2 linked regions of the Arabidopsis thaliana genome follow. The protein of the gene in region 2 purifies or fractionates together with the protein of the main gene of each other region. This does not show direct contact. Each region holds a gene or a part of one and is shown on either strand. Other genes may lie near its edges.

Region 1 (7,734 bases), on a different chromosome or scaffold from region 2:
TGATCTTTGTTAATTCCTGAAACCATTTCAACGACGAAAACATAACCGACAGGAAAAGACTTACAAAGAAATATTCAAACTCGATGAAACATAAAACCGATGAAGAAGAGATCAGAAAGGAACAAGTAATATGTACGGAAATTCCATCAAGGAGATTTATAGATTGGATTGGACGTTCTTACCAAGGTGAGGAGAGAGAGAGAGAGAGATATGTTCTTGGGACACAAATTCAAGATGAACAAATAATTGTCTGAAAAGACAACTACGTGCTTTTTCTTCTAAAATTTAATTTTCCAATCAACTGTAAAGTTTTGTGAAGTTGTAACGATGCAAGAAAAAAAAAAAAAAAAAAAAGTTGTAACGTTGCCATTGCCATGTTAAGGGTCAAATACCAAATACATTTCCTTCGTTGACTCGTTTCTACCCAAAGTAATTTCTACATTTTTATCAGCATTTATTTCTATTTTGACTAGAATGAAATTCGGTTTGATTTTATATATAAAATTTCATTTCGATTTTATGGCCAGCCTATTTCAAAATTTTGTTAGACCTTTTAACTTTCCACAAACACTCATAAAGTGTGAATAATTAAGAAACTCATGTGATCTAATCATGAGCTAATCATTATCTTAGTTGATTTGGTTCAACAAAAAAGCTAAGGAAAGAGACTCTTGATTACTTTTTAAGACTAAACTGAGAGAGTATGTAAACTCTGAACTTCTTTTGAATTTGTCTATCACCATAATCTATAAGCAATACTACAAAACTGAAAATACGCATAAACCAAAAAAAGATCCTTCATAGTGAGTTCTTCTTCTTCAAGCAGATTTCAACTTGTTTGATGCTGATGCAAGTTGAGATAGTGTTCTGTGTCCCACGAACAACAGAAACACTCCCAACAAAGAAAGTGCCTTGAGAGTCGTGAATAGATCCAACTGTAGAATGCAAACAAACAAAACAAAGAAATTGTGATTTGATGCAATGATTCAACTGTAGAATGCAAACAAACAAAACAAAGAAATTGTGATTTGATGCAATGATTCAACTGTAGATCAAACAAACAATAATCGGTTATGAAAACTTGCCTTCAACCAGAATAGCACATATAGAAGCAAAACAGCTCCAATTCCGCAGTGGAAAAGTAAAGCGGATATTGCAGATCCAGTCGACGATGGGAAGCTCTTTATGTTCACTCCCAACCGCGTAAGCTGAAACATAAAAAATATATATGAGTAGTGAAAGAAATGTGATGATGTTTTTCGGATACTATTTACAAGCAAAGGGAGACTGACCCCAATCAGGAAACCGATGAATGGGAGAACGATAACACCCAAGAAAACTAGTGAGAGCTGCTTTGCTGGAAGCTTTTCAGGAATCCTGAATATGTGTGATATTTCAGCTTTTGGCCCATATCTTGAGTAAGGCTCAGTAGACTGTAGAGGAGGACGAGTCGCCTTCTCTGGACGCTCTGGTAGGTCTAGTTCAATGTGACCAATATTACTCAGTAAAGAGTTCTCCTGGGAAAAGAGAAAGGAAAATAACACTGTTCAAATCTCAGAAGACATAAATCATCAACTGCATTGGACCTGAAAGTAAAGTACTTACCATAGAAGCATCTCCAATGGTTAGCTGTATCTCATATTTACCAGAGAGGTAGTAGAGCTTCTCAACCAATCCAAGAAAATCCTGAAGGTAAGAAAATAACATTAACCATTAATATTGTATTTAGGACGTCATTAATTTCACCAAACTTGATCATTAAACTTTTTTTGCAAAAGCAATTTTAAATGAAGTTGAAGGAACTTAACTAGAACTAATTCAGACTTCTTTCCAGAAGTTTTCACGAGAAAGATATGCTCGACCTGTGACTCATGTTTCAGCTTGAAAAATGCCTGCATGGAAGTAAGCAAGTCAAGAAAGTGAATAGAACAGAATATAACCATTGATGAAGCGAAAAATCAAGAATGAACAAACCTGGTGTGGCTTAAACGCATTGCCAAGTGGAGTAGTTAACTGGAATGACAGGCGTAGCTTTTGAAGGTGGTTTGCTGATAATGATACCGCTCCATCTTTAGTTAAATCTAGCCTACAAATGTTACAGAGAGAACCAATAAACAAAAAGAAGACACTAAGCACAACAACAAAAAGTTTGAAATATATATTGTAAGCAATAATGGTACAAGTTTCCTAAGAAAAATGGTTAAGCAATTAGCAATCAATCAAAATAAGCAAAAAAGGAAGTTGTTCATCAACAATACAGGTGACATACTTTTTCTGAGATTCAACGCTTCCAATGTCACTGTCAAGTACAGCAATTTCTGCATTTTCAATGCTAATAGCTCCTGTGGCAGCTATAGGCACTTTTGTTTGAGCTTCAGTTATGTATACTTTCTCATGTGCTGATTCATCCAGCACAATCTGCAGAAAACGAAGCTTATCATGTTGTCATCATACATTTATATGAAGTCTTGGGTGTAGTAAAACCAAAGAAGTGCAATACCTTAAATACAAAAGTATATTTTCCAATGTCAAAGTTCTTGGGAAAGGAGTCCAGGAAGTACGTTGCACTGTCAGCGTCAAACTTAAGCTCCTGTACCCCAAAAATGTAATGGAAAAATGTAAACCGGCCTAATGCAGAGAATAAGGAACATTTCTATTGCAAGCTCAAACAGTAAGAGATACATTATTTACCTGGTTATTAATTACAGATGAATCCACTGACTTAGAACTTAGAGCTTGTGTAAGCTTCACACTAAGAGCTGGTGCCTTCGAACCCAGTACAGTGCTAACTTTAACCTAGTTCCAGATAAAGAGAAAAAAAATCTAAAATAAGAAAAAATGTAATGGATGAAGGGTCAACTAAAATGAGTCATTATCAAATAGATAAGAGATCTCTACAAAAAAGATGCAATGCTATGAGCCTGAGCAATCTCTAAACCAAATACCAGCTAGAATCCAACATCCAACCGTTATAGCCAGAAAGTCCAAAGTTAAGACTTTCACTACTAGAAGTCAAATCTTGATGCAAGCTTATGAATGGGTACCTTCAGAGGCTCTTTCTTTGTCAATGAAATGACAGTGGATGGAAGAGACAAGATGAGTGGAACAGAAAACCTGAAATGATAGAGAATGACCATAGAGCAAATTATTGTTCCCATAGAATGATAAAGTTTCAGCTAGACCATAATAAATGAGCAAGTGGTTGAAATTTCACAAGTGTTCAAAGTTTTAAACTTCTACTCTTTCCCTACAGATATCATTTCTTCGGTAATCATTTTGTTCAAAATTCTAACAATGTAAAGAGAAACAGTTTTTCTCTTTCATAAGCAACTTTACTTTAACACAAAAGAATGGAAGTAACAGTAAGTCCTTGTAACTCTTATGTCTTTCACACCACTCAATTCAAGGTTACTGAAATGATTCTAAGATGTGTACTGAAATAAACTAATAAGAAAATGCACAAAGAAAATGCACAAAGGGGCATGAAAGTAGTATTACTTGTTGTCTTCCAAACAAGCTAGTGCATCTATTTGGTTGAAGAAGTCCTTGGCATCACCAGGAATTCCAACACCCAGAAAGAATTTGGCCAGACCAACTATCTTATCACCTGGAAGCTGCATGAGATAATGGGAATGCGAAGGTCAACTATCAACACATTTGTCAGAATAGGATACATGAAAACATGGGTATTACATACGTTCAATCCTGTGGATTCTGAAGCTGCAAATGACGTGAGCCCTCTAATAACTGATGCAGTTGTTGAGATCGGGCCTTGACTTGCATCAACAGACTTCTCATCAAAATAAAATGTCCCATCATCTAAAAGACCAAAAATAATAATTCAAAGCCCACATATGCAAAACCCAAGCTGGCAAAAACTATGAAGTGAGTGAAGAGAATATAACATGCAATACATAGGATAGCAAGTAATTTACTGCATACCATATTTTTGGATACTGTCAGAAAGCTTCAGGATACCCGTCTTCACCGACTGGATCTAACAGAGGACAAACATGAATGACGATCATTACATAACCAAGATTAATAAACTACCAGATAAAATGAAAAAGAAACCACCAGAATAACCAAATGAGAAGTCAGGTGGACATGCATAATTATCAAAACACGAATCTTTCTTTGTGATTATCAAATCACAATTCCCTGTAGCTAAGATTTGGAATTTATAATTATCAAAACAAAACTCTTTATTTTAGTTACTTAGAGATTCCAGAAGCAAAAGTAGATCATCACTAAACCAACATATCGTAGTGATATCTCATCAAAATATATTCTCAGGAAATCAGAAGTATAGTGGATTAAACATCTCACTTACCAAAGATGGATCAAACTCTGAAGGTGCTAATGAAATCACTCCAGCAAGCGTTTCATAGGCTAAGCCTGAGAAAAAAAATCGCATGTTGAGAAGAATGAGTGAAATAACAAAGAGCAAAAGAAGTGAACAAGCTGAAGCAAGAAAGGAAGGGATACATAATCTAAAAGGCTCATCATTAACGTTAGGTAAGGGTTAATCCAATATGTACTACTAACCAGCAGCAAAAGTGCTTGATTCGGGATTGTTGGAGCTGTAGCGCCATCTTCCATCACTCTGGCTAAGAGACTGATACAAATGCACTATATCAGCCAAATAATACCCGGAAAACAATCTAAGTAGTATTAATATAGTAACTGAGTTTTGGTAACATATCGAAAATATATATATACTTCTACCAGAGTCTATAATTGATAGTCCAAAAAGACAGTGTATGAATGTCACATCTGATAGTTCAACAACAACAAAATTGAAGGTCAGCTAAACAAGTTCAAACCTTGATGGAACGGAAAATGGCTTCGGCATCTCCAAGACTTATATGAGTTCCAGGAAATTGCTCCTGCATTCATGGAACAGTGAGGTCAAACTTGAAGCCAGGAAAAAGAAAAGTCAGGAAGCCAAAGCTATGGAGTTGAATAAAATAAAATAATCACGATCACAGGTACCTTCTGCCAAAACATTTTCATACTTCAACATAATGCACGAAAAACTAAGAAAACTCTCCTAGAAATACTCTATGGAAAAAGGGTGTAGTCAATCTCACTCAAGATGTCCACCAAAAGTTTTAACTCGTATTTACCTTAGCCAGCACCAAGCCTCTGACAGAATAATAGAAATCAAGCAATAGCTTCGCATCTTTAACACCAGCTTGAAGTTGAGAAACAATGTCCTTCAAAAGAGGAAAAGATAAGGTTATTTTAGCCGCTTAATAGTTAAAATTATGATACTGAGAGGAGACAATTGTTTACCTTAGGACCAGCTTCACCAATTTTACATTTTAGAATCCCATTAACGTTTAACGCATAAAATGCATCCTTAAGAGTAGAAGAAGACGACTGAAGAACTTTAACCACATTCTCACAAGTCTTTGAGCTAAGATCAGACTTTTTATCAATTCCAAGAATCTCCAAAGTCTTTAATGCTTCATATGCCTCCTCCAAGCTGATAGTAATAAAAATCAGATTAGTCCGTACAAAAACCATTCATGAACATTAACGAGCAACCAATATGTAATCGGTGAAATGTGGTTAAAACCCCTACATCAAAGCAATGCCGACTTAAGATAGAGAAACCAACCTTTTGTATGATCCATCGACTGGTACGAAGACATCCAGAGCCGCAGATCGGTGAGAGTCTGAGATCGGCTGGAAAACAGAAGCAGCACCGCAAATTGCTACGGCGAGTATCAAAACCAGAAACCGTACGTTACCTCCGGCCATCATCACTGCATAAGAAAACTCAAAAAAACAGATAAACTCATCCAAATCAATACAATTACACATCTACGACGGATGGATTCCAAAATCAACCGAAGATTTAAGCTTCTTACAGATCGGAAGTAGATCCGTATAGTCGAAGAAGCGGATCAGAGGTCGACGAGTCTCAGTAGTCAACGGAGACTGAGGTTTGAGGTAAGCCTAGGATCGATCTATAGCTTTTGAACCAGACGACGAACCAGAGAGAAGGCTAAAAAATGAGTGTGAGTTTGATGACACTACCTGATATTACCGATTTACCCTCGATTTGAACTTAAATTACACTTCATGAAACGACGGCGTACCTTGAAACCCTAAACCTTGCAGATCAACTTCAATCACCATTTTCATTTCAAACAGAGAGAGCTCTGAGGAAATCAGAATCTGAAAATGATCAGATTCGCGAGACCAAAACCTATAATTGACTCAGTGAGTTACAATCTTCTCCAGAAATGTTACGCTAGTGGAACCCCCAAAGGAAAATCGAAGCTGAAGACAGGCCAATCATTGAAACGCAACAAACTCACAATCAAAAAAGGCGGTGGAAACGGCGGTGGCAGAGGTGGTGATGAGGTGGATAAGGGAAAAGGAAGAATCTCAGATCAATGCATAAACGCTCCTTGTCCTGTTCGTTACCTGAGACCTAAGGAAAGAGAGCGAGAAGCGAGACGAGAGAAGCTAGGGCTAATCAGTAAAGCGAGGCAAAAAGAGATTGATTTTCAGAAGAAAGGTGGATCCTTTACGATGGGAGTTACTACTGCGCCGATGAGGATTGGGACTCCAGGATTGGATTACATTTCGTTAGGGATTTTTACGGAAGATGAGTTACCAAAGTATAAGGTTACAGTGGAGGATGGGATTAGACTTGCGAAAGAGTATAGTAGAGTGCTTATGAGAGAGCATAGAGCGAGACGTGTAGCGGAGATTAGTTTGATGAAGATGAGGAACGCTGCGGTTGAGGCATTGCCGGAGAATTTGAAGAAGGCGGCTTTAGTGCGTGATTTGACTCCGTTTCCGGTGAGTCGAGGTACGGCTACGCTTACTCCACCTATTGAAGGGTATTTGGAGAGGATTATGAATGCTGCGGCTAGGAAGAGCTCTGGTAAAGAGAAGTTGAGATGATCTTGTTAAGGTTAGAGGAATTTGTCTTTGCGTCATTGGTTTTCTCTTGTTTTATTAGTTGTGTTGATTGGATTTCGATCAATGGATATAACTTTGAGACATTTGTCTTTATTTTTGTGATCTACTTGAAATAAAATGGTCACTGGCAGTTGCTACTATATGATAGAATATTAGTTGAAGCTTGAAAGTTTAATCTTTTTCTACTTTATATTGTTTCATATCGGCCTTCTGAGAGGTGAAGTTGTCTAGGATGTAAATGGAATCTTGTTAAACCTCTTTTGTATCTCTTTCCTTGATCGTGTTTGCCTGTTTGCATACTTCTTTCAAATCTTCATTTTTCAGTATTATGTGTATGAACACTGTACACTCATACATTTAGGATTTGTCTCTTCATATATTCTAACCTTTAGGAAGGCCACTGGGTCATGATCAGCTCAAACTTGGTATAACTTTTTATCCTTACCAAAACCATATTCCTAGATAAGAACTGCAGACTATCTTGGAATCTACAGTTCTGCACCAAGATTACAACTGTTTAATCAATATGGGAGTTGAGGTTTGTCCTCTGTGAGCTTTGTGTTGGAAGTTCAGCAGAATGTTATGTAGGAAAGGATGTCCTGCATCTGCTTGTGCTTCTTCATTCAAATGCATAGTTTCTGGGTATTTTCTTCAAGCTCTCCATATCATTTTCTGCATCTTGTTACCCGGTCCAGTAGAGTGCAATGGCAAGAGTCCTAAAGCTACAAAGACCACGATTCTCCAAGGATCATCATAGTTTGAAAGCTGAGGTAGCTAGTCTAGAGAGAA
Region 2 (6,392 bases):
GCTTTGGGATTTTTCTCTTTTGTTTCAGTGTTTGTTCTTCGTTTCGTCTTCAGACCTTAAGGAAGGGCGATTTGTATTAGTAAGCAATAAGCGTCGGTCCGATTTAAAGCCCATCTTCTATTTTCACTCAATTTGGGTTTCTATCATAGTTGGGATTTATTTATTTTGTAAAATTTTCCACTAATAGTCTAAAATCTAAATACTATCTAATTTTTTAAATTATTATTATATGTCATATTACCATTAAATAGTTGCTTATATAAAAAAAGAGAAACCACAATAGATTTTTTTCCAAGAAAATATATTATTTTGAATATTTACAATTGGAAAATAAAGATATACAATATGATCCAATACAAGAAAAGAATATGAACATCATAATGATAACAATTAAATTAGCAATGGAAAAAAAAAAATTGGATATCCAAACATAAATAAAATTTAAAATGTGTAACCAATCCAATTATTAATGATAGTTATTTATTTATTAATGACACATCAACAAAAAATTGGATTATTATTTTGACTTACAGTATATAGTAAATAGAGAGATAGTATGTGTTCTTCAATTTTTTCACAAGACCATCAAGAGAATCTCCAGAAACATATTACTATCATTAGAAAAACTCAAAAAATAACATAAGTGTTTTTAACCCGAAAGAAGAAGAGAAGAAAAGAATGACTAAAAAACGATATGAATAAACAATTAACAATGTGTGGAATAAAGAGCAATGGAATGGGAACAACAGAACATTAGAAGTAATTACCTCAAATCATCTAACAAAGATTTGATTTTATTCATGAAGGTTGCAACGACGAAGATATGGGTGATCAAACTTGATGTACTTGGTCCAATACGGCCGATATTTGGACATTGCCAACTCCAACCATGGTTTCATGTTCCCGTTATAGTGAACCACTGCTGCATTCTCAATGTCCTTCTTGTCGATACTCGGGTTATATCCAAGTCCCAGCACATGCCACGCCTTGTTTAAGGGATGTGTTAATCCGTAGAATGTTATTAATCCTGGTGGCAATGTCCCTAGCTTCCATAGTGTCCTGTTCTCATTCTAAACAACACAAGCCAAAATGAGCAAACCACAATAAATAAAATAATAAACCATCATTAGACTATTTGTTGCAAAGAATTAAAGAGTTATTTACCATGTTTTGCCACTTGTGGTATATACCAGTGATGTCTCTCTTCTTCCATTCCTTTAGGTCGAACATGTTCATTCCATAAGCCCATCCACAAGCATTTGGATTGAAGTTCCTCGCAATGTGAGGATTCGAAAAGTTGAGATACTTGTCGAATCTGTGGAAACTTTCCCCACAGGTTTCGACTGCACCGTTGACTTTGCCGTTCAGGTTAACTTCCCAGAGTGGAGTCAAGTCTTTCTGAACAATGATGTCATCGTCCAGGAAGAGGATTTTGTTCAGCTTGGGATAAACCTCAGGGAGGTAGAATCTCAAGTGATTCAACATGGATAGATACTTTGGGTTTCTGTATTTTAGATTCGAAGAGCCTGAAGTTGGATGGTCTGCTTTAAAATAGTACTCTCTCATTGCTGCAGATTCAAGCTGACGAAGGACAGGACAGTAAGATGAATTGAGCCACTTAAACTCATCGACGTTTTCCACATGTATGGTTGCCTTTCCGGGTGGGTTTAGGAGGAACCACATGTTCATTGCTCCGAAATTGAGTTTATCCGTGACAAGGTGAAAAACATGCTTAGAAGGATCCTGCACATATAGGGAATAAAGACATTTTTAATTTCAGCTCTGCAATGCGTATCTAAAATTAAACATACAGATATTAGGACGAATCAAGTGATAAGAGCTAATGATTTTACCTTGGCATTCATGATGGTTGAGTTAACAACTACTGATGCAGCTAATACATTGTCGGAAAAGAGGGCATAATGATAAAGATTAGGGTTTTCTAGGTTTTCACTCCGAGGGAATTTTCTTTTCTCCGGAGACAGAAGATAGTAATCGATAGTCAAGCGCATTGATAGGCAATGGATAGGATTTGGAATGGTTTTTGCTGCTAACTGAGCCAGAAAAGTACTCTGCTTCTTTAAGCTCCTCACTTGTTCGTCGGCAGTCTGAAGCATTGCTCTCAGCTTTCCAGTAACCAGCTTGCAGTCATATAACTGCATCTTAGCTTTAGCCAAGACTTGACCCATGGCTCTGAGTTTCTCATGCGCACTATATGAAAAGTAATTTAGAGAGCATGTTACTTTAAGAAGTACACAAGCAGTCGAAAAAAGGCAAGTAGTAGAAACCAAAAGGAGTAATTTACCTCCGAGGAAGATCAGCATCAGATGTTGCTTCCCCCAAAACCCGTTGGCTGTCCTTAAGTCGGGCCTGGAGTTCTTGTAACAAATCGTTCTTGTTTTTCAATTTTGCAATCCCACTATAGACTCTAGCCATTATTACTTGATCCCGCATCAAGCGTATATTTGAATCAGAGTTGTCATTCTCATTTTCTCTTCTCCAAATACTGTATTTACCAAGGACTGCAGAATCAACAGACTTAGAGCGTTCAATGGCAGCATTTTCGAGTTTCAAAATCGTGTCATCATTGTGCTGAACTAACTCATTTGCCCGCATCTCACGCCTTTTCTCTCTTAGTTGCTGAAATGTCAAGATGGATAAAAAAAATGTTGATAATGAAATACTAAAGACACAAGAAGTCCCTAAAGAGTATTTGATGCATCATGACATTGAACTTTAATAAATAATAGTTACCCTTCTGTGAATCTTTGTAGGTGTCTCAACTTTCTGATGGATACTATCTGCATCAGCAATATATAGAAGAATCAGAGATGGAAAACGTCAAATCAGAGATGCCACTTAAATTAAAAGCCACTACCTTTTGAAATGCTGTCACGTTTTTCATTCAGGTTATTAGATTTGACATCAGGAGTTGCTGGATTCTGCCTCAAGTACAGCAAAAGATGAAAACTATGAGAAAACATCATTGAGAATAGAAGCTTAGAAAAGAAATGAGACACTTAAACCACACCTCAGAATGTCTAAAGGAGGGGTCTACTCCGGTTCCCCGCCATGATGCAGACAAATTGTTTTTCTTAAAAGAATCAAGGCTAAGAGGACCCAAATCAGCTGTGCTGGTTGCTATAACATCTAGTATCTGGACAACAAATTTAGTAAGAAACTATCCAGTCTCAGAAAAACTGACAAAGACAATAAATCGAAGCAAAGTTTCAAAGATTTAAACTACCTCTTTCGAGAAAAGAGATCTAACAGATTGCATTGCTAAACGTTCTCTCCAGTCAAGATTCTGCCAAAAAAAACAAAAAAAAACAGTCCAATCAAACAACATTCTTACTTCTGTCAAAACATACAAGTAGATAATTTGATAGAGTTTAAGCCGACATACCTGCTTCACAGAAACAATTGAATAATCTGCAGTAATGAAAGTAAGCTCCATCAGATGGACAATTCGCAGATAAATTATATATGTAACACAAAATCGAGAGACACTAATCCTTGAAACCAAAGCTCGATAGTAAAATAGCAAAGAACCAATTTTGCCAGTCTAGAAAAATAGCAATTGTCTGAATATCATCAGTGTCACATCAAGCTAAAAGTAACTTAAAATTGAGATAGTAAAGGCTGAAAACTAAAGAGTGGTAAAACTATGCTAATGTTCTCAATCATTAATAGAATTTCTGAATCTCTATACATGAATCTGCAAATTAGTATATAGAAAGATAAGCAATATATGCATACCATTTGAGGAATCGATATACACTCCTCGGCCAACAAAGAAGCAAAGAGGTGCAAAAACACAGAAAAATATGAGAAGCACAAGCACAGATCGAGATCCACCACCACTTCCTCTAATCCGGTTAACTCCAGATAGCCCTCGCTTTAGCGCCATCCCTATCAAATTCAAAAAAAAAACTAAATCAAGCAACGAAATCGTGGAAGCAACCCGAATATAATGAAGGAGAGAAACAAATCATACTCGGAATCTAATAAGAGATCAGGTGAGAGAGATTTGAGAAGAATCCAGCGTTTACGCAAAAGCTTCACAGGTAAACAGACTAAAACGCCATTGCTAATTTCCCGGCGAGATCTGACAAAACTCTAGCACAACGGCGACGAAGAGAAAACTCGGAATTGAAGCTAATGATTACGATGAAGAAGAAGAAGAGAGTATGAAGAGGATGATGATTGATTGATATGTGTAACAGAAAAACGTTGATTCACCGACAATTAACCAATCGCTATCAACGCCAGGATTTTTGTTTGCAGAGAAGAGAGAACCTCACGCGTACTTTTGACACAGATCTCTTTTATCGATTACAATTTACGAATCTCCTCCTATCCGGTTTACTTGGTTAAAATTAAAATCGATATTATACCAAACGAACATAAAATTGATTTGTTTTTTCTTCCTTTTTTGGGCTGATGATAAATAGAACGATGACACTGCTTGCTTTCAAGTTTCGACTTCGACCCATTAATAATTAACTGGGCTTTTGTATATATTATAAGCCCAAGCCTATATAGATAGATGCGTCACGTTGAATTTCGCCTTTCTAATTTAATAGTTTTTTTTTTCCAGTTTTCATGAAAATACATTAATTTTTAATTTGATATGACAATTCAATTTTCATCTAGCAGTATAGTATGGCATGATTTTATAATTTAATTTACAATTTTGCATGTATGTAATGACTACACAAATTAAAAATGATGATAGTAATTTGTTTGGTTTATTACTAAATGATTTACAATACAGTGTAACACTGTAACTAGACCTAGTAATGGTTTTTTTTTAGCTGATTTTATTTTTAGTAATAATGATCAAATACAACCTTGGTAAATGTTTGATTCAGTTGTCAAACCATATAAATAAGATATAACCAAAATTTGTTTTCTCTTGAAAGGCTTTTTCATAAAAACCTTACTTTTTTTTCTTTTGAAAAGGAATGCAACTTTTCAACAACAAATGATGAACCTTCCTGCGCCTTTTGACCAATTAAAACTTCCCGAACTAGTAATAAACTTCACACACGTAATATAGTTACACTCTGTTTTTTGTCATTAGGGTCGATGTCTTATATGTTTTTTACTGACTCCACATCGGTTCAGGTTGAACAACATTTAGTGGATGAACGTTTAATTGTTTACATGTACAAATTAACCTTGACGAAATCATAGCCATTGAACAAAAAAAAAACAGTTTTATATAAGTGTTAGTTTGAAGAATCACAATAGATGTAAACTTTATTAAGTAAAAAGGTTTGGTCCAACTGTTGCATATCAAAAAAGAATATCAATTTTTCTTGAGTGCCAGTTTGAACTTTGAACAATATGTCATCAAATACTGATATTAAAAGAAATAATGATGATTTTTCCAGTGGTCCAACTGTATTTCCATACTTCTAATTCTAGGTAGGAGAAAGTTTTCGTTTTGTTCCTATCAATTAATTTTTTATATACCAAAAGAATTTTCATTTGGGTCAAACAACAGTAAGATCATTACCATTTTACACTCTAGCTATAATTAATAAACGGAAAGTGAATTCTTCTTGCATGGTAATTGAAATGAGAACTTTGTAATTTATGATGAGATATTGTCCTATTGAGATAAAACTCGGTTCCACTATGTATGTAGGGTTGAAATAGGTTGATAAGAAAAAGAGAAACTATAGGGTTAATAAATACGCTTTTTTTTTTTACGTATATCCAGCAATAGAACTAAAGTAATTCATTTTGATTGATATGTACATGTAAACTTCCAACATTGAGAGATATTAAAGACAAGAAACAACGTAGAAAGAAGAGAGAGAGCGAGTGAGAGATGGGAAGAGGCAAAGTGGAAGTGAAGAGAATTGAGAACAAGATCACTAGACAAGTAACCTTCTCCAAAAGAAAAAGTGGTTTGCTCAAGAAAGCCTACGAACTCTCTGTTCTTTGTGATGCAGAGGTTTCTCTCATAATCTTCTCCACCGGTGGCAAGCTCTACGAGTTCAGCAATGTCGGGTACGTATATCCATTCATTCAAGATCATTAATTCGGTTTTCCTAATGATGAAAACCTAGGTTTTCATGGGTAATATGATTAAGATCATCCATGTTTGATTTGTGTCTGTTCTTAAGATCAAGAAACCAAATTCTGTCTTGTGGGTATCTGAAAAAGGTTATGTCTTTTTATTCTAACCCTAACTAGTTAAGGTTGATCACCATCCATCGATCTCTCAGGATCCATCGGACATATGGGTCAGTTTAGCTTTTAGATCCGGTAAATCTTTTGAAAGAAAACTTCTTTGTTTTATTTTGGGTTTTAATTGTTATCACCAGCTTTGATATGTGTATGTCCTTAAGATCCATGAAACCTCATATATACGTTTT

The links.
Region 1: the proteins of GAUT1 (region 2) and HAP6 purify together in Arabidopsis thaliana (affinity purification with mass spectrometry, with the first as the bait; one study listed by BioGRID). This does not show direct contact.

The regions. Positions count from the first base shown.
Region 1 is NC_003075.7:11,276,684-11,284,417, reverse strand, and holds HAP6 (ribophorin II (RPN2) family protein), read right to left. Parts: upstream 5,990-7,734; 5' UTR 5,880-5,989; intron 5,788-5,879; exon of another isoform or gene 5,775-5,787; 5' UTR 5,773-5,774; coding exon 5,627-5,772; intron 5,492-5,626; coding exon 5,299-5,491; intron 5,220-5,298; coding exon 5,130-5,219; intron 4,890-5,129; coding exon 4,827-4,889; intron 4,619-4,826; coding exon 4,549-4,618; intron 4,399-4,548; coding exon 4,334-4,398; intron 3,998-4,333; coding exon 3,943-3,997; intron 3,820-3,942; coding exon 3,698-3,819; intron 3,615-3,697; coding exon 3,499-3,614; intron 3,115-3,498; coding exon 3,045-3,114; intron 2,797-3,044; coding exon 2,692-2,796; intron 2,591-2,691; coding exon 2,501-2,590; intron 2,419-2,500; coding exon 2,270-2,418; intron 2,087-2,269; coding exon 1,975-2,086; intron 1,893-1,974; coding exon 1,809-1,892; intron 1,687-1,808; coding exon 1,606-1,686; intron 1,518-1,605; coding exon 1,293-1,517; intron 1,209-1,292; coding exon 1,086-1,208; and 4 more. Other genes in the region: AT4G21140 (copper ion-binding protein), read left to right, coding at 6,196-6,927.
Region 2 is NC_003074.8:22,619,917-22,626,308, reverse strand, and holds GAUT1 (galacturonosyltransferase 1), read right to left. Parts: upstream 4,398-6,392; 5' UTR 3,998-4,397; intron 3,913-3,997; 5' UTR 3,911-3,912; coding exon 3,760-3,910; intron 3,433-3,759; coding exon 3,407-3,432; intron 3,308-3,406; coding exon 3,248-3,307; intron 3,158-3,247; coding exon 3,032-3,157; intron 2,943-3,031; coding exon 2,879-2,942; intron 2,802-2,878; coding exon 2,755-2,801; intron 2,641-2,754; coding exon 2,306-2,640; intron 2,212-2,305; coding exon 1,854-2,211; intron 1,744-1,853; coding exon 1,165-1,743; intron 1,071-1,164; coding exon 795-1,070; 3' UTR 501-794; downstream 1-500. Other genes in the region: AGL13 (AGAMOUS-like 13), read left to right, coding at 5,843-6,024. UniProt on the Arabidopsis thaliana protein: Involved in pectin biosynthesis. Catalyzes the transfer of galacturonic acid from uridine 5'-diphosphogalacturonic acid onto the pectic polysaccharide homogalacturonan.